4 linked regions of the Saccharomyces cerevisiae S288C genome follow. The gene in region 1 interacts genetically with each later gene. Each region holds a gene or a part of one and is shown in the gene's direction. Other genes may lie near its edges. The genes, in order: RPN4, SLX8, CHO2 and UME6.

What was found.
Region 2: mutations in RPN4 (region 1) and SLX8 together harm fitness more than expected from each alone (negative genetic interaction), as found in Saccharomyces cerevisiae (5 studies listed by BioGRID, with this or other methods).
Region 3: mutations in RPN4 (region 1) and CHO2 impair growth when combined (synthetic growth defect), as found in Saccharomyces cerevisiae (5 studies listed by BioGRID, with this or other methods).
Region 4: mutations in RPN4 (region 1) and UME6 together harm fitness more than expected from each alone (negative genetic interaction), as found in Saccharomyces cerevisiae (6 studies listed by BioGRID, with this or other methods).

Annotation. Positions count from the first base shown.
Region 1 is NC_001136.10:414,546-418,255, reverse strand, and holds RPN4 (stress-regulated transcription factor RPN4), read left to right. Parts: upstream 1-1,547; coding exon 1,548-3,143; downstream 3,144-3,710. Other genes in the region: oxysterol-binding protein related protein OSH2, read left to right, coding at 1-593; phosphoglycerate mutase family protein GPM2, read right to left, coding at 3,368-3,710. UniProt on the Saccharomyces cerevisiae protein: Acts as a transcriptional activator of a number of genes encoding proteasomal subunits. Binds to a PACE (proteasome-associated control element) DNA sequence 5'-GGTGGCAAA-3'.
Region 2 is NC_001137.3:394,781-397,786, reverse strand, and holds SLX8 (SUMO-targeted ubiquitin ligase complex subunit SLX8), read left to right. Parts: upstream 1-1,614; coding exon 1,615-2,439; downstream 2,440-3,006. Other genes in the region: 60S ribosomal protein uL14 RPL23B, read right to left, coding at 134-505, 977-1,018; SPR6 (Spr6p), read left to right, coding at 2,920-3,006. UniProt on the Saccharomyces cerevisiae protein: Component of the SUMO-targeted ubiquitin ligase (STUbL) complex SLX5/SLX8 that mediates ubiquitination and subsequent desumoylation of sumoylated proteins and proteins containing SUMO-like domains for their degradation.
Region 3 is NC_001139.9:800,491-805,607, forward strand, and holds CHO2 (phosphatidylethanolamine N-methyltransferase), read left to right. Parts: upstream 1-1,949; coding exon 1,950-4,559; downstream 4,560-5,117. Other genes in the region: cleavage polyadenylation factor subunit PTI1, read left to right, coding at 56-1,333; exosome non-catalytic core subunit MTR3, read right to left, coding at 4,779-5,117. UniProt on the Saccharomyces cerevisiae protein: Catalyzes the first step of the methylation pathway of phosphatidylcholine biosynthesis, the SAM-dependent methylation of phosphatidylethanolamine (PE) to phosphatidylmonomethylethanolamine (PMME). Preferentially converts di-C16:1 substrates.
Region 4 is NC_001136.10:864,474-869,260, reverse strand, and holds UME6 (DNA-binding transcriptional regulator UME6), read left to right. Parts: upstream 1-1,738; coding exon 1,739-4,249; downstream 4,250-4,787. Other genes in the region: MSS4 (1-phosphatidylinositol-4-phosphate 5-kinase), read right to left, coding at 1-1,037; EBS1 (Ebs1p), read right to left, coding at 4,553-4,787. UniProt on the Saccharomyces cerevisiae protein: Component of the RPD3C(L) histone deacetylase complex (HDAC) responsible for the deacetylation of lysine residues on the N-terminal part of the core histones (H2A, H2B, H3 and H4).

The DNA of each region.
Region 1 (3,710 bases):
GTGATCATTGCAAGTTGTATTTCAAAGCAAGGGGATGGAGGTCATCAGGAGCATATGAAATCACAGGCGAAGTCTACAACAAGAAAAAACAGAAGGTGTGGATCCTAGGAGGACACTGGAATGAAGCTATTTTTGCCAAGAAAGTAGTAAAAGATGGCGATCTCTCGTTGGAGAAAACTAGAACCGCTGCATCAGCAGGGAATGGGCCTACGGATGACGGAACGAAGTTTTTAATATGGAAGGCAAACGACCGTCCTGAGGAGCCATTCAATTTAACACCTTTTGCTATCACGCTGAATGCTCCACAACCACATCTATTGCCATGGTTACCCCCCACAGATACACGTTTGAGACCAGATCAAAGAGCAATGGAAGATGGGCGTTATGACGAAGCTGGTGATGAGAAATTCAGAGTTGAAGAAAAGCAAAGAGCAGCACGCAGAAAAAGGGAGGAAAATAACCTTGAATATCACCCACAATGGTTCGTCAGGGATACTCATCCCATCACAAAAGCTAAATATTGGAGATATACGGGCAAATATTGGGTTAAAAGAAGAGATCATGATTTGAAAGATTGTGGTGACATTTTTTAACACGCCTTTTTTATGCGAGCTTTTTTCCTGGTACTTGTATGTATTTTGAATGTATTTTATTGTACTGAATTGTATTTTATTCTACCGCACATTTGTTTCTTTTGGCATATATAGTATGTTTACTTAACAATAGGGATTTCCTTCAGTTTTCCTAGATGTATCAATTTAGTTATCTTTTCGAACACTTTGGTTATGTCACCATGGTCAGATGACCATATTATTTTGAAATCCATATAACCAATTACAAAGCAAGCAACAAGCGAGTAAATAAAATCGTTAGGCGGTTACCATAACCCTTCGTTACGACGCTAAAGTGCTATATAATGCCTCCATTACGGCTGCGATAGAACTGTGCCTAAATTAGCGGCAGAGGTTGAAAACCAATCATCACTAACGTATTCAATATTAATTGTTGAGAAAACCAACTACGGATTGTTATAGAGATCAAACTATATGCACTGAGAGGACGTTACTTCTTTTTTTACTACCTTTCTGTTCCTGTAATAACAAGTTCCGTGGAACTCAAAGAAAGGTGCCTCAGCCCGTACGAACCTTTCCACGGATAATCACGTGATCGCTATTACTAATAGCCGTTTACAGTGATGGTTCTAGAAAGTTCCGTTTCGGCGAAACTTGTTGAGGAGAGCAATTCTATATAAGGAAAGAATAGTTCGAAGCCCAATTTGGGGAAAGCCCGGGATGAGCAGCCTAACCCACACGGATAATTTTTTATCGTTCAAGGAGGAGGATACGTTTTATCTCTAATATAAATTAAAGATAAACCCGAAACTCTTTTTTCTTCTTGGCGTGGAATATTTAAGGAGTAGATCAGTTCCATTTTGTTCATCCTTTTCTCCTCAAGGAAGAACTCCGCTTTTTAGTTGAACTAATAGTAGATAGTACTAATAGCTAATTTGTATCTTTTCAAAAGTTTTCTAGAATTTTCAAGCAATCATGGCTTCTACGGAACTTAGCCTAAAAAGAACCTTAACGGATATTTTAGAAGACGAGTTGTACCATACTAATCCAGGTCACAGTCAGTTTACGAGTCATTATCAAAACTATCATCCAAATGCTAGTATTACTCCATATAAGTTGGTGAATAAGAACAAGGAAAACAACACTTTTACGTGGAATCATTCATTACAACACCAGAATGAATCGAGTGCAGCTTCGATACCCCCACAACAAACCTACCATTTCCCGATATTCAACAAATACGCGGATCCTACTTTAACTACCACCACCTCTTTTACGACTAGTGAAGCAACGGCCAACGATAGACAGATTAATAATGTCCATCTCATACCAAACGAGATTAAGGGTGCTAGCGAAACCCCATTGCAGAAGACCGTCAATCTAAAGAATATAATGAAAGTATCAGACCCGTATGTACCGACACGGAATACGTTCAATTATGATGTTAAAATTTCCAACGATTTTTTCGATAACGGTGACAATCTATATGGTAATGATGAAGAAGTGCTTTTCTATGAGGATAATTATAATCCGAAAATGCAGTGGTCACTTCAAGATAATAGCGCCGCAATAAACAATGAGGATGCGAGAGCTATTTTTAACAATGAATTTGACTCTGATGACGACGATATCAGTGATGATGAAGAGGATGAAATAGAAGAAAATTGTTTGCAACAAGAGCAACACCAAGAGGAGCCTTTACTGTCATTGGATGTTACACCAATCTCAATGTTTGGCTCAGATCAAAAAACGGGTCGTGCCAAGAGTTCTAGTCATTTATTTAATGAGTACAGTTACGTTGACTCTAACATGGACAGCATTTCCAGTGTTGTATCTGAAGATCTGTTAGATGAACGGGGACATGAGAAGATAGAGGATGAGGATGAGGATAATGATCTTGATGAAGACGATATCTACGATATCTCTCTCTTGAAGAACAGAAGAAAGCAAAGTTTTGTCCTCAATAAAAACACTATTGATTTTGAAAGATTTCCATCTCCCTCAACCTCGGCAAACGTACCGTCTACTGCTACTACCGGTAAAAGGAAACCAGCAAAATCATCCAGTAACCGTAGTTGCGTTAGTAACAGTAATGAAAACGGCACATTAGAAAGAATAAAGAAGCCTACATCAGCTGTAGTAAGCTCAAATGCTAGTAGGCGGAAGCTAATTAATTATACTAAGAAGCACTTATCTTCACATTCATCTACAAATTCGAATTCGAAACCTTCGACTGCATCACCATCGGCCCATACGTCATCTTCTGACGGTAATAACGAAATATTTACGTGTCAGATAATGAATCTCATTACAAATGAACCGTGTGGTGCCCAATTTTCAAGGTCCTATGATTTAACGAGACACCAAAATACCATTCACGCTAAAAGGAAGATTGTCTTCCGTTGCTCGGAGTGTATAAAAATTCTTGGATCTGAGGGCTATCAGAAGACGTTTTCGAGACTGGATGCTTTAACAAGGCATATAAAATCGAAGCATGAAGATTTGTCGTTAGAACAACGTCAAGAAGTTACAAAATTTGCAAAGGCTAATATTGGTTATGTCATGGGTTAATTAAGGTTACAAATTATATAGGAGATAAAAGAAGAAAACCTCACACAAAATGGAAATACATATACACATCTATATATATTTACAATATATATCATATATCTGCATTCAGGAATGTTCTTATAAATATCACATTTTTAAAGTACCTCATTGGACTTATAATAAGTTTTCTATTGGTTTTCATTATACTTCGGAAAATACACAATTATATTATATACTTACCCCCCTTAAGGATTTTTTATGAAACCCTCATTACGGACTTTCTCAGCATTGATCTTAGCAGATTCAGGATCTAGGTAGAATTTTCTGATAAACTTAAGACCATTATTCTTATCTAATTCAACGACTAAGGGGATACCATTTGGAATATCAACATTCTTGATGTCATCATCTGATATACCCTCCAGAATTTTCAGTAGCGATCTCACTGAACTTCCATGGCCCACAATCAGGCATGAAGATTCATCATATTGATTGGCTAATTTTAATATGACATTTTGTAGAAAAGGATTCAATCTATAAACCACTTCACGAAGAGATTCGGAATCCGGTAATACAATGTCATGATTG
Region 2 (3,006 bases), on another chromosome or scaffold:
CAACCGCTTCACTGAAATATTCTCCAACAATGTATATATGCACTCTCATGTCATTGACTTGACTTGGATTGTTTATATTAATATTTTAAAAGGTTACATAATGATTTAAAAGAATTTTTCTTGGAAATTTTATTTAAACAACAACACCAGAGTTGGAAGCAACTCTTGGCCATAAGTCGGCACATTCCTTACCGACTGGACCAGTAATGGCAGAACCCTTCATTTCACCCTTAGGATTAGCGATGACACCAGCATTGTCCTCGAAGTACAAAAAGACACCGTCTCTTCTTCTCCAAGACTTAGCTTGACGGACAACAATAGCTGGCATAACCTTCTTTCTCAATTCTGGCTTACCCTTTTTAACAGTGGCCATAACCATGTCACCTAAAGAGGCGGCTGGTAATCTGTTCAATCTAGAACCAGAACCTTTGACGGCAATGATGTACAAGTTTCTGGCACCACTGTTGTCAGCACAGTTCATGATAGCACCAACTGGTAAACCTAACTATTTAAAAAAAATGTAAGTGACACATAAAAATGAGCACACAATTAATCTGTTAGTAAATCAATCCTATCTTGGCAAGAATGGAACCATCAACACAAATATATTTCTTGGACATAAATGATCTTACAACAATTGGACATTTTTGGAGTTTGTATATTCCGCATAGAACTTCCAATAGTCTTAACAAAAGTAACCTTCTCAGTAATCAGTTGGAAAGGCATCCATTTAACGCTTTAAGGCCCAGAAGTAGATTTCGCTATCTGGATGTAGGCATGGAGAAGCCATTAAGGATAAATTTGGCATCTTCCATTTTGGCTATCCACTATATTCATTGATAGACTCCCACATTTCTTGAACATTGCTTGTCTCAATTGTAACATTCAGTCTCGGGAATATACTTTTTTATTTGTTGATTGACGACATCTTGTGTGATTTAAATGGGTATTTCCACTTGTTTCGGTTTTAACATACAGAAATTCTGAATTTTGTACCTTGAGCACCGTTACCTGACATTTTTGCTGTATTATTATCGTGATTTCTCGATTATTTCGAAATAGCAATATTACTCGCTTAATCAATATTCAAAATCTATATACTTCTTGATTATAACTCTCCATCCAACTGAAAAGAAACCGTGGGCTTCCTTCCAGTAAGTCTCAGAGGCGCAAGCCGGGACAGCACCGTATTAGTTTCAGTTTCCCGCCCAAGTGAAAGGTAGTTAGCTACTGTCCCTCCCCCGTGCACAGCATGTTGGAGGGTTCCCAGCAGCTGCCGGTGGGGAAGAGAACAGTAAGCATGAGAGGAACCCTCGCTTTGCCGAGAATTGAAGGAGACGGCTCCTAATAGAAAAAAATCTTTCAAATTAAACAAAAAATGTTTGGGTTCACAAAAGTGTACGGATGTATACAACAGGGAAAGAAAGAACTGTTTTCTACATCTATTTGTATTTTAGGAAATTACAGAAGAGAAGGGATAATATGTCAGATATTAGAGCATGCGGAAGATTAGTAGGAACAACTTTCTTTCTTCGATCAACAGTACTTTTTCCCCTACTGAGTCAATATAAAGGGGCGGCCAAGTAACAAACGAGTAAATTAATTACACCTTGTATGGCAAGAAGACCTGATAACCAAAATCCAGAAGGTGAAAATCTACGAATCAAAAGGGTAAGACTAGAGTCGGTCAGGCAGAACGATGAGGAGGAAGAAAATGAAGTATCGAGAACACAAAATATCGTCACAGATAACCGCCATGACAGCCCAGAGGCCGTAGTCGAAATCATTGGAGAGCGAGCTCTTGAGAATACTTCTGAGGAAGATGGTGATGATGATTTATCTCTCTTTAGAGCACTTGAAGAAGATCCAGGTAGCGACCATAACACCAGTAACAACGATTCTGGGAATCATGACAGGGAAACAATGCATACCGAAGAGCCAGAAGCAAGTTCTGGTAACAATATCACATTAACGAATAATGTTGAAGAATTGCACACAATGGACGTTCTTTCACAAACAGCAAACACTCCGAGTGCTTCCCCGATGCTTGACGCAGCACCGCCGACAACGAAACCTGGAACAAATAGTAAGGAACAAACTGTTGATTTAACTGCAGATGCCATAGACTTAGACGCTGAAGAGCAACAAGTGTTGCAAATATCAGATGACGACTTTCAGGAGGAAACCAAAGAAGCACCCAAAGAGTATGGTGCAGCCAAGGACTATCGCTGCCCGATTTGTTTTGAACCTCCAGAGACAGCCCTCATGACGTTATGTGGGCACGTCTTTTGTTGTCCATGCTTATTTCAAATGGTTAATAGCTCAAGAACATGTAGACAGTTCGGCCATTGCGCTCTTTGTAGAAGTAAAGTGTACTTAAAGGATGTGAGGTTAATTATTCTAAGGAAAAAGCAAGTCAAGAAGAAGGTAAAAAGCTAGCTGTCAATAACCGAGTGTTCTCTTTATTAAAGTACGTTTTACAGGCATACTCAAAAGAAGATTCTATGGAGTAGCCGGGTTTTCATCAGGAGATGAGAGTTCTTTAACCCCAGCACAATCGTAAATTTTTACCTTTTTTTTTTTTGCTTCCTGCTCATTGATACTTTTTCTGATTAAACAAAGCACTCCGAGGAATTTGGACCATCTACACAAAAATGGCTATAAATGAAGGAAAAAGGACAAAAGAAAAAGAGGCACTAATCAAGGCAGAGTATGTATTTAATCCTCCCCTCAATATTAATGTGTAGTGGGTACATAAACAATTAAGGGGACCAAGCATATAACCAGAGCTAAGGTATTACAAAGAAAAGAAAAAAAAAAATTAAGGTTACCAGGTACAACATAAATAAAATTCAAGGAATTACTTTTTGTCGTGCAGCTACCATTTTACTTTGAGTTGTATTTTGTTCAAACTTGTATATGGCTGTTTCTAATATATGGCAATCGTACTCTTCCTCCAATTTACATTGGATTTATCCTCTGTATACCAATAACTGTTCACAAAAT
Region 3 (5,117 bases), on another chromosome or scaffold:
TTAGAAAACTCACAACTGGAGAAGACGAAGAACGAAGAACGAAGGAAAAAAATTGATGACAGATCCCAGAAGAAGAACAGGCCGTCATTTCTTGACACCGGAGAATTTATCCTCTACATTACAAATCACAAACTTACCTCCAGAATGGAACCAAGATATAATTACTTCGGTCGTGGCCGGTTCTGGTCCAGTTATAGATATAAAAGCTAAGAATGACCCGAGAACTGGTAAACTAACCGGTGTACTGTTCGATTATTTGACTAGTAAAGATTGTAAACGCGCTTGGGAAATTTTAAATAGAATTGAAAACTTTCCCGTAAAGATAGAGCAAATAATCCCACCAAATTATAAGGACCATCTTAGAGAAACAGCAAATAAAAATTCTCAAAAGCAGGTATTACAACTTAATAGAGATTCGTACCCCTTCGAGGCGGGTTTGGAGCTACCTTTCGAAATGGTGACAGAAGTCCCCATTCCTAGGCGACCACCGCCACCACAGGCTGCAAATAACACAAACTCTGTATCAAATAACACAAACATTCAATTCCCCGACATACTAAGTAAAGCATCTAAACACTTGCCAAGTTTCCAAGATGGCTCGATTATTGCACCAGACAAAATTTCACAAAATTTAAGTAAAATTCCGCCGTTGCAACTTATTGAAATTATATCAAATTTGAAAATATTATCAAACCAAGAAAACATCCAAAAATCGCAATTAGAATCTTTCTTAGATACTAACAGTGATATCACAATATCAGTGACCCAAGCCCTACTAGAAATGGGATTTATAGACTACAGCGTGGTGACTAAAGTGTTGAAATCCCAAGTTGGCGAGGCCCCATCTTTGCTTTCGAGTAATAACACAAGTAATTCGAACACCCCCGTAAGCGTAATTAGAAATAACACTCCGTTGCATGTACCTTCTAATGAAGTCAGCAACAATCCTAACAATATGCCACTGAACGTAGCTATGCCAATGCCTATGTCGACACCACCATTTATCCCTTTACCTCTGCAACAACAACCGTTCGGTTTTGCGCCACCGGGCCCTTTCATGCCTCCAGCTCAAGGCCCCTCCATGGGACAGCCTGTGTTGGCAAATCAACTCGGCCAGGTCCAGCAACAAAATATAAGTTCTACAGAAGGACCCTCTAACGCGAATAAAGCGAATGACAGCGGCACCATTAATATGGCGAAACTGCAATTACTACCTGAAAACCAACAAGATATGATCAAACAAGTTCTTACTTTGACACCTGCCCAGATCCAAAGTTTACCAAGTGACCAGCAACTTATGGTGGAAAACTTTAGAAAAGAATATATAATCTAAGTAATCAGAGCCATAGCGTATCAGAAAACCACACCTAATTAGATGGTTCTTGCATCTGTACCTCTTATCACTAAAAGCGGCACTAAACTTCCAACATTAAATGTTTGCCTTGTTAAATATATATTTTTGCCTTGGTTTAAATTGGTCAAGACAGTCAATTGCCACACTTTTCTCATGCCGCATTCATTATTCGCGAAGTTTTCCACACAAAACTGTGAAAATGAACGGCGATGCCAGAAACGGCAAAACCTCAAATGTTAGATAACGTGGATCTCCGACACATGTGAATTTATAAGTAGGCATATGAAAATACAGATTCTTTCCACTGTGTTCCCTTTTATTCCCTTCTCATGTGAAGAGTTCACACCAAATCTTCAAAATATAACTAATATAGTAGAGTTTGATTCAAAGGACCTTTTTTTTTGCCTCTTTGATTAGTTTATCTTCTTTTCTTCATTTTATCCCCTAATTTTATACGTTAGTTCAACCTAACAATCCAGGATTTCATTAACAAGAAAGGTAAAAGTAACCTATCAAGGCTATTTTGAAAAAAAAAATTCCGCCCTGAATATTTCGAGTGATTTTCTTAGTGACAAAGCTTTTTCTTCATCTGTAGATGTCCAGTTGTAAAACCACTTTGTCTGAAATGGTTGGTTCTGTGACAAAAGATAGGGGCACTATCAACGTCGAAGCCAGAACACGTTCGAGTAATGTAACTTTCAAACCACCTGTAACCCACGATATGGTGCGTTCGCTTTTCGATCCAACTTTGAAGAAATCTCTGCTGGAAAAATGCATCGCGCTAGCTATTATATCGAATTTTTTCATTTGTTATTGGGTCTTCCAAAGGTTTGGCTTACAGTTTACCAAATACTTTTTTCTGGTACAGTATTTATTTTGGAGAATTGCTTATAATTTAGGTATTGGACTGGTTCTGCATTACCAGTCACATTATGAAACACTAACGAATTGTGCTAAAACTCATGCGATTTTCAGCAAAATACCACAGAATAAAGATGCTAATTCGAATTTCTCAACAAATTCCAATTCCTTTTCAGAAAAATTTTGGAATTTTATTAGGAAGTTCTGTCAATATGAGATTAGGTCTAAAATGCCAAAGGAGTATGATTTATTTGCCTATCCAGAAGAGATCAACGTCTGGTTGATATTTCGCCAGTTTGTCGATTTAATCTTGATGCAAGATTTTGTGACTTACATTATTTACGTTTACCTTTCTATTCCATATAGCTGGGTTCAAATCTTCAACTGGAGATCTTTGCTAGGTGTTATTTTGATTTTATTTAACATCTGGGTCAAGTTAGATGCGCATCGCGTGGTTAAAGATTATGCTTGGTACTGGGGTGATTTCTTCTTTTTGGAAGAATCTGAATTGATTTTTGATGGTGTCTTCAACATCTCTCCACATCCAATGTATTCTATTGGTTATTTGGGTTATTATGGCCTATCATTGATTTGTAATGACTACAAGGTTCTTCTGGTGTCCGTATTTGGACATTATTCTCAATTTTTGTTTCTGAAATACGTCGAAAATCCTCATATTGAAAGAACGTATGGTGATGGCACTGATTCCGATTCTCAAATGAATAGCAGAATTGATGACTTGATATCAAAAGAGAATTACGATTATTCAAGACCTCTAATTAACATGGGTCTTTCTTTTAACAACTTCAATAAGCTAAGATTTACTGACTATTTCACAATTGGTACCGTAGCGGCACTTATGTTAGGAACAATCATGAATGCTAGGTTTATCAATTTAAATTACCTCTTTATTACCGTTTTTGTAACAAAACTGGTTTCATGGTTATTTATCTCGACAATATTGTACAAGCAATCTCAGTCTAAATGGTTCACGAGATTGTTTTTGGAGAATGGTTACACACAAGTTTATTCCTATGAGCAATGGCAATTTATTTACAATTATTATTTGGTATTAACCTACACACTTATGATAATTCATACAGGGCTTCAAATTTGGAGTAATTTTTCCAACATAAACAACAGTCAATTAATTTTTGGTTTAATTCTTGTGGCTTTACAAACATGGTGTGATAAGGAAACGAGACTAGCAATCTCTGATTTTGGTTGGTTTTATGGTGATTTTTTCTTGAGCAACTATATCTCAACTAGAAAGCTGACTTCCCAAGGTATCTACAGATATTTGAATCACCCAGAAGCGGTATTAGGCGTTGTTGGAGTTTGGGGTACTGTATTGATGACGAATTTTGCCGTTACAAATATTATCTTGGCTGTTTTATGGACATTGACAAATTTTATTCTTGTCAAGTTTATTGAAACACCTCATGTTAATAAGATATATGGTAAAACTAAACGAGTTAGTGGTGTTGGAAAAACTTTACTAGGCTTGAAACCTCTAAGACAAGTTTCAGATATTGTCAATAGAATTGAAAATATTATAATCAAATCATTAGTTGATGAAAGCAAGAACTCCAATGGTGGGGCAGAACTTTTGCCCAAAAATTATCAAGATAACAAAGAATGGAATATTTTAATTCAGGAAGCAATGGATAGCGTTGCAACAAGATTGAGTCCATACTGTGAATTGAAAATTGAAAACGAGCAGGTAGAAACCAATTTTGTCTTGCCTACTCCAGTAACTTTGAATTGGAAAATGCCCATTGAACTTTATAACGGAGATGATTGGATTGGTTTGTATAAAGTCATTGATACAAGGGCAGATCGTGAAAAAACAAGAGTTGGATCAGGTGGTCATTGGAGTGCGACTTCTAAAGATTCATATATGAACCATGGATTAAGACATAAAGAATCTGTAACAGAAATAAAGGCGACTGAAAAGTACGTTCAAGGTAAAGTGACATTCGACACGTCTTTGCTTTATTTTGAAAATGGTATCTACGAATTTAGGTATCATTCTGGTAACTCCCATAAGGTGTTATTGATTTCTACACCATTTGAAATTTCATTGCCGGTACTAAATACCACGACACCTGAACTGTTTGAGAAGGATTTGACTGAGTTTTTGACGAAAGTCAACGTTTTGAAGGATGGTAAATTTCGTCCATTAGGAAATAAGTTCTTCGGGATGGACAGCTTGAAACAATTGATTAAGAACTCAATTGGCGTCGAACTTTCGTCTGAGTATATGAGGAGAGTCAATGGTGACGCTCACGTTATTTCGCATCGCGCTTGGGATATAAAACAAACGCTTGATAGTCTTGCTTGAGTTTTTTTTTTTTGAGTATATATATTTAAAAAGTACTAGGATTCAAGTTAACATTTTGAATAGAAGTAGTTATGTTGTTGTAATATAATGGAGCTACCATATATGCAGAATGACATTATAAATTATGATGTTGATGTACAATGCCTTTGTGCGCTTCTTTTACCATGAATTTTTTCTTAACCTCTTTCACTTTTCTTTCCGACTAGGATAATCTCGTGTCTAAGTTTCCTGGTTCATTAAACAGCTTATCATTAAATCTCTATAACGGTTATATTGCTCCTTGCAACGATCAAGGCATTCCAAAAGATCTTCATCGTCACCATCATCCTTCCAAAAACCTACAATTTCCTCTCCATTTTTGATGAATGATACGACAGTGCCATTGGCCTCACCGGCACCTGCCATATCCACTAATTCGATGCCGGCATCAGCTAAGGCTAGCGTTATACTAGTGATACAATGTGGTATGAGAGATGATATTTGAGAAGACATCATTTTGCTTTGCGAATCGTCGTCCTGAGGATTATTTGTAAGATCCTTATCATACGTTAAATAAAC
Region 4 (4,787 bases), 450 kb from region 1:
ATTTCTGCCGTTGCAGACTCTGATCTTTTCAGACCCGTAGCAGCGGTAGTAGTAGTAGTATTATTATTAACAGCAGCAGCATTAGCAGCGTGATTATGGTTGGTGCCACGACTGTGTTGATAGTAGTGGTCATTCTCTGGCGGCAAAGAAGTGGTTGATTTGGATATCATATGATATTGCTTTGACTTTTGAGAAGGTTGTGGAAGTGGGTGAAGAGGCAAAGAAGTCATTGAGTGACTAATTTTAGTAGCAGAATTTGGTTTCATGCTGGTATCTCCATTGGCCAATTTTATTACATCTGAATCATCCATAGGTAGAATTTGAGAATGCTTGGAAGCGTGAAAGGGAATATTGGGCAGGTTTGAATCCTGAGTATTTCTTCTTTGCTTAATTGTCGTGGAAGTTGCTGTTACTGCCGATATTCTGGAAGATCGCCTCGAAACGCGCTTGTTTAGTAAAATATGATCGTCATTTAAGTCTTGTATATACGAATCTGTGTGAACAAGACTGGAATTGTCCAAATCCAAACAATTATTCGAGTTTAACGAGGGTGTTGTTATTTTCTTCGACTCCTTACCTTCGGGAAAACTATATTTCTGCATTTCCTTGTTACTAGTGCTATTTGGTCGGGGAGAAGTTATGGTGTTTGGATGATCATCATCCGTATTATTATTGCTGTTGTCATGCAAAGGATCAATTGATATTGAGTAGTTTCTCTTCACCAGCCTCGAATTATTTATTGTTGGGTTTAACTCTTCAATAGAGGTCGGAGTGGAAGACTCACCATCTGACAAGCGAGGACTTTCCATGTTTGACTCCGAATTCGATGAAGAATGGTAGCTAGTGTGATTATTGCGATCCTTTTTTATTCGATGGTTCGAATCCGGATTCGAATTCGAATTCGGCACCGAACGGTCTTGATGTCGCTCAATTATTGCAGAGTGCAATAGCGATGGTTCCTGTTCTGTTTTGCGACTGGTGGATGTTGTCAGATGTAGCGGTACAACTGAAGGAGGTTGTGATCGCAAGACTGACATGAGTTAGAAACTATTGATAGGGAAAAGCGATATAGGGCAACTGTCTCGGGGGGTGTAAACAGGTTTCGTACTCTCTTGCTTATGAATGTGCTACTTCTTGTTCCTATTTTTTGTTTCTGTCCTTGTTTTTTCTTTGCTTGTCCCTCCGTATTTGCTTCTTTGTTGTCACGCTTTTGTTATTTCCACCTCTATCTTTCCTCTCTGTCCCATTCCCCATCCATTCCTTTCTTTTTTTTTTTAACCTGTGTTTTGTTTTCCCAGAATGGGCGGCACGTTCTTATGTCCGTAAAAACGGATATACAAAAGCGACACGTCGTCTGAGGTGACACTCCACTCAACCCCACTTGCCCAAAACATGCATTGCTACAAGTAGTAGAGCGCAGTTTTTAAAGTCCATTGGTTGCACACGAAATCACGAGAATAATCACGAGAATAGAATGCACGTTGGATTTCGGGCATCCTATAATTGCCAAGACTGCGCTACTTCTCTTCTGTTTCGGTCCGGGTGACACGTCCGCCGTGCTTCAAGGCGCCTTTTCACCAATGCCAGGCGGAAACTGCCGCCGTCAAAAAGAAAAATGAAAAGAACATAGAGGACAAGGACAAGAGACCAGTGATCGTAAGAAGCGCCCACCTTCGCACAGCGCACAGGAACTAGGACACTACCGCACTCAAACCATTTGCATGGACCTTAACTCACGATGCTAGACAAGGCGCGCTCTCAAAGCAAACACATGGACGAATCTAATGCGGCTGCCTCTCTGCTTTCGATGGAAACAACCGCCAACAATCATCACTATTTGCACAATAAAACATCTCGTGCCACGCTGATGAATAGCAGCCAAGACGGCAAAAAACATGCAGAAGATGAAGTTAGTGATGGAGCTAACTCCCGCCATCCTACAATTTCCAGTGCTAGCATCGAATCTCTCAAGACAACCTACGATGAAAACCCTTTGCTTTCTATTATGAAATCGACATGTGCGCCCAACAACACTCCCGTGCATACTCCGTCTGGTTCGCCGAGTTTGAAAGTCCAAAGTGGCGGAGATATCAAAGACGATCCTAAGGAAAACGATACTACTACTACGACCAATACTACACTTCAAGATCGCCGTGACAGCGATAACGCTGTGCATGCTGCCGCCAGCCCACTCGCGCCTTCCAATACACCTTCGGATCCTAAGTCATTGTGCAATGGCCATGTCGCACAGGCTACAGACCCACAAATTTCCGGTGCTATTCAGCCGCAGTATACTGCAACCAACGAGGATGTTTTCCCTTACTCCTCCACCTCCACTAATAGTAACACTGCCACTACTACTATCGTCGCCGGCGCCAAAAAAAAAATACATTTGCCGCCACCACAAGCTCCAGCGGTTTCTTCCCCCGGTACCACCGCAGCAGGCTCGGGCGCGGGCACGGGCTCGGGCATCCGTTCCCGCACAGGATCGGATTTGCCGCTCATCATTACCAGCGCCAACAAGAACAACGGTAAGACTACCAATTCGCCTATGTCGATACTGAGCAGAAACAACAGTACCAACAACAACGACAATAATTCGATACAAAGCTCAGATTCGAGAGAATCCTCTAATAACAATGAGATTGGCGGGTATTTGCGCGGCGGAACTAAGCGCGGCGGCAGTCCATCTAACGACTCTCAGGTCCAGCATAATGTGCATGATGACCAATGTGCCGTGGGCGTGGCGCCCAGGAACTTCTATTTCAACAAGGATAGAGAGATAACAGACCCAAATGTAAAACTGGACGAGAACGAATCAAAAATCAACATATCGTTCTGGCTAAATTCGAAATACAGAGATGAGGCTTATTCTTTGAATGAATCATCCTCCAACAATGCTAGTTCAAACACGGATACGCCTACAAACTCTCGACATGCGAACACCAGCTCTTCCATTACCAGCAGAAACAATTTCCAGCATTTTAGGTTCAACCAAATACCTTCTCAACCTCCAACTTCCGCATCTTCGTTTACAAGCACAAACAACAACAACCCTCAACGGAACAATATCAATCGCGGTGAAGACCCGTTTGCCACTTCGTCAAGACCTTCTACTGGGTTTTTTTACGGCGATTTGCCGAATCGTAACAATAGAAATAGTCCCTTCCATACAAATGAACAATACATCCCACCACCTCCACCGAAATACATCAATTCTAAATTGGATGGATTGAGATCAAGATTATTGCTCGGTCCGAATTCTGCATCTTCATCTACCAAACTAGACGACGACTTGGGTACAGCAGCAGCAGTGCTATCAAACATGAGATCATCCCCATATAGAACTCATGATAAACCCATTTCCAATGTCAATGACATGAATAACACAAATGCGCTCGGTGTGCCGGCTAGTAGGCCTCATTCGTCATCTTTTCCATCAAAGGGTGTCTTAAGACCAATTCTGTTACGTATCCATAATTCCGAACAACAACCCATTTTCGAAAGCAACAATTCTACAGCTGTTTTTGATGAAGACCAGGACCAAAATCAAGACTTGTCTCCTTACCATTTAAATCTAAACTCTAAAAAGGTTTTAGATCCCACTTTTGAGTCAAGGACAAGGCAAGTTACTTGGAATAAGAATGGTAAGCGAATAGACAGACGCCTTTCTGCTCCAGAACAACAACAGCAACTGGAAGTTCCACCATTGAAAAAATCGAGAAGGTCAGTTGGAAACGCAAGAGTAGCAAGCCAAACCAATAGCGATTATAATTCTCTTGGCGAATCCTCAACTTCGTCAGCTCCATCGTCTCCATCTTTGAAGGCTTCTTCTGGCTTGGCATATACCGCTGATTATCCTAACGCTACTTCGCCGGATTTCGCTAAATCTAAAGGAAAAAATGTCAAGCCTAAGGCAAAATCAAAGGCGAAACAGTCATCAAAGAAAAGACCAAATAATACTACTTCGAAATCAAAAGCAAACAATTCTCAAGAATCGAATAATGCTACTTCCTCAACGTCTCAAGGTACAAGGTCCCGTACTGGTTGCTGGATTTGTAGATTAAGGAAAAAGAAGTGTACCGAGGAAAGACCGCACTGTTTCAACTGTGAAAGGTTGAAATTGGACTGTCACTATGACGCGTTCAAACCAGATTTTGTATCTGATCCAAAGAAAAAACAGATGAAACTGGAGGAAATCAAGAAAAAAACAAAAGAGGCCAAAAGAAGAGCAATGAAAAAAAAATAAAAGCTCACTGAAAAAAAAAAAGAGATATTGTTACTATTATTATTATTATTACTGTCATTAATACTATACTAATAAAGAAAAGGAAAATACGCATAATAATATTTAATTAACAATAATATAACATATATATATATATATATATATGTATGTACTACCATGTAATTTCAAAGACTTTCAAAAGAAGTTATACGTCAATTCTCGTGTACAAATCAGTCAAACTGTAATTCATTCGTACTGATAAGCCAAATTTCTACCTAGTATTCATATGAAGATTTGAAAAACTATGATAAAAAACGAACAATATTAAAACATATTATTCCGACTGTTTCCCCTCATGCTGTCCGTGTTGCTTTGGGCGTCAAAAGGAAATTGCATGTACTTCCCCACATCTTGCTGCATAGGTTGTTGAAACATTTGCCGTTGCGCTTGCGCATATGCTGACGACGGCGCAGATGTCTGGTACTGGTCACCTAGCCACGTTGGATTTGCAAAATTCATTGACTTTAATGAGTAAGCTTCGCTCTGCCATTGTAAATTT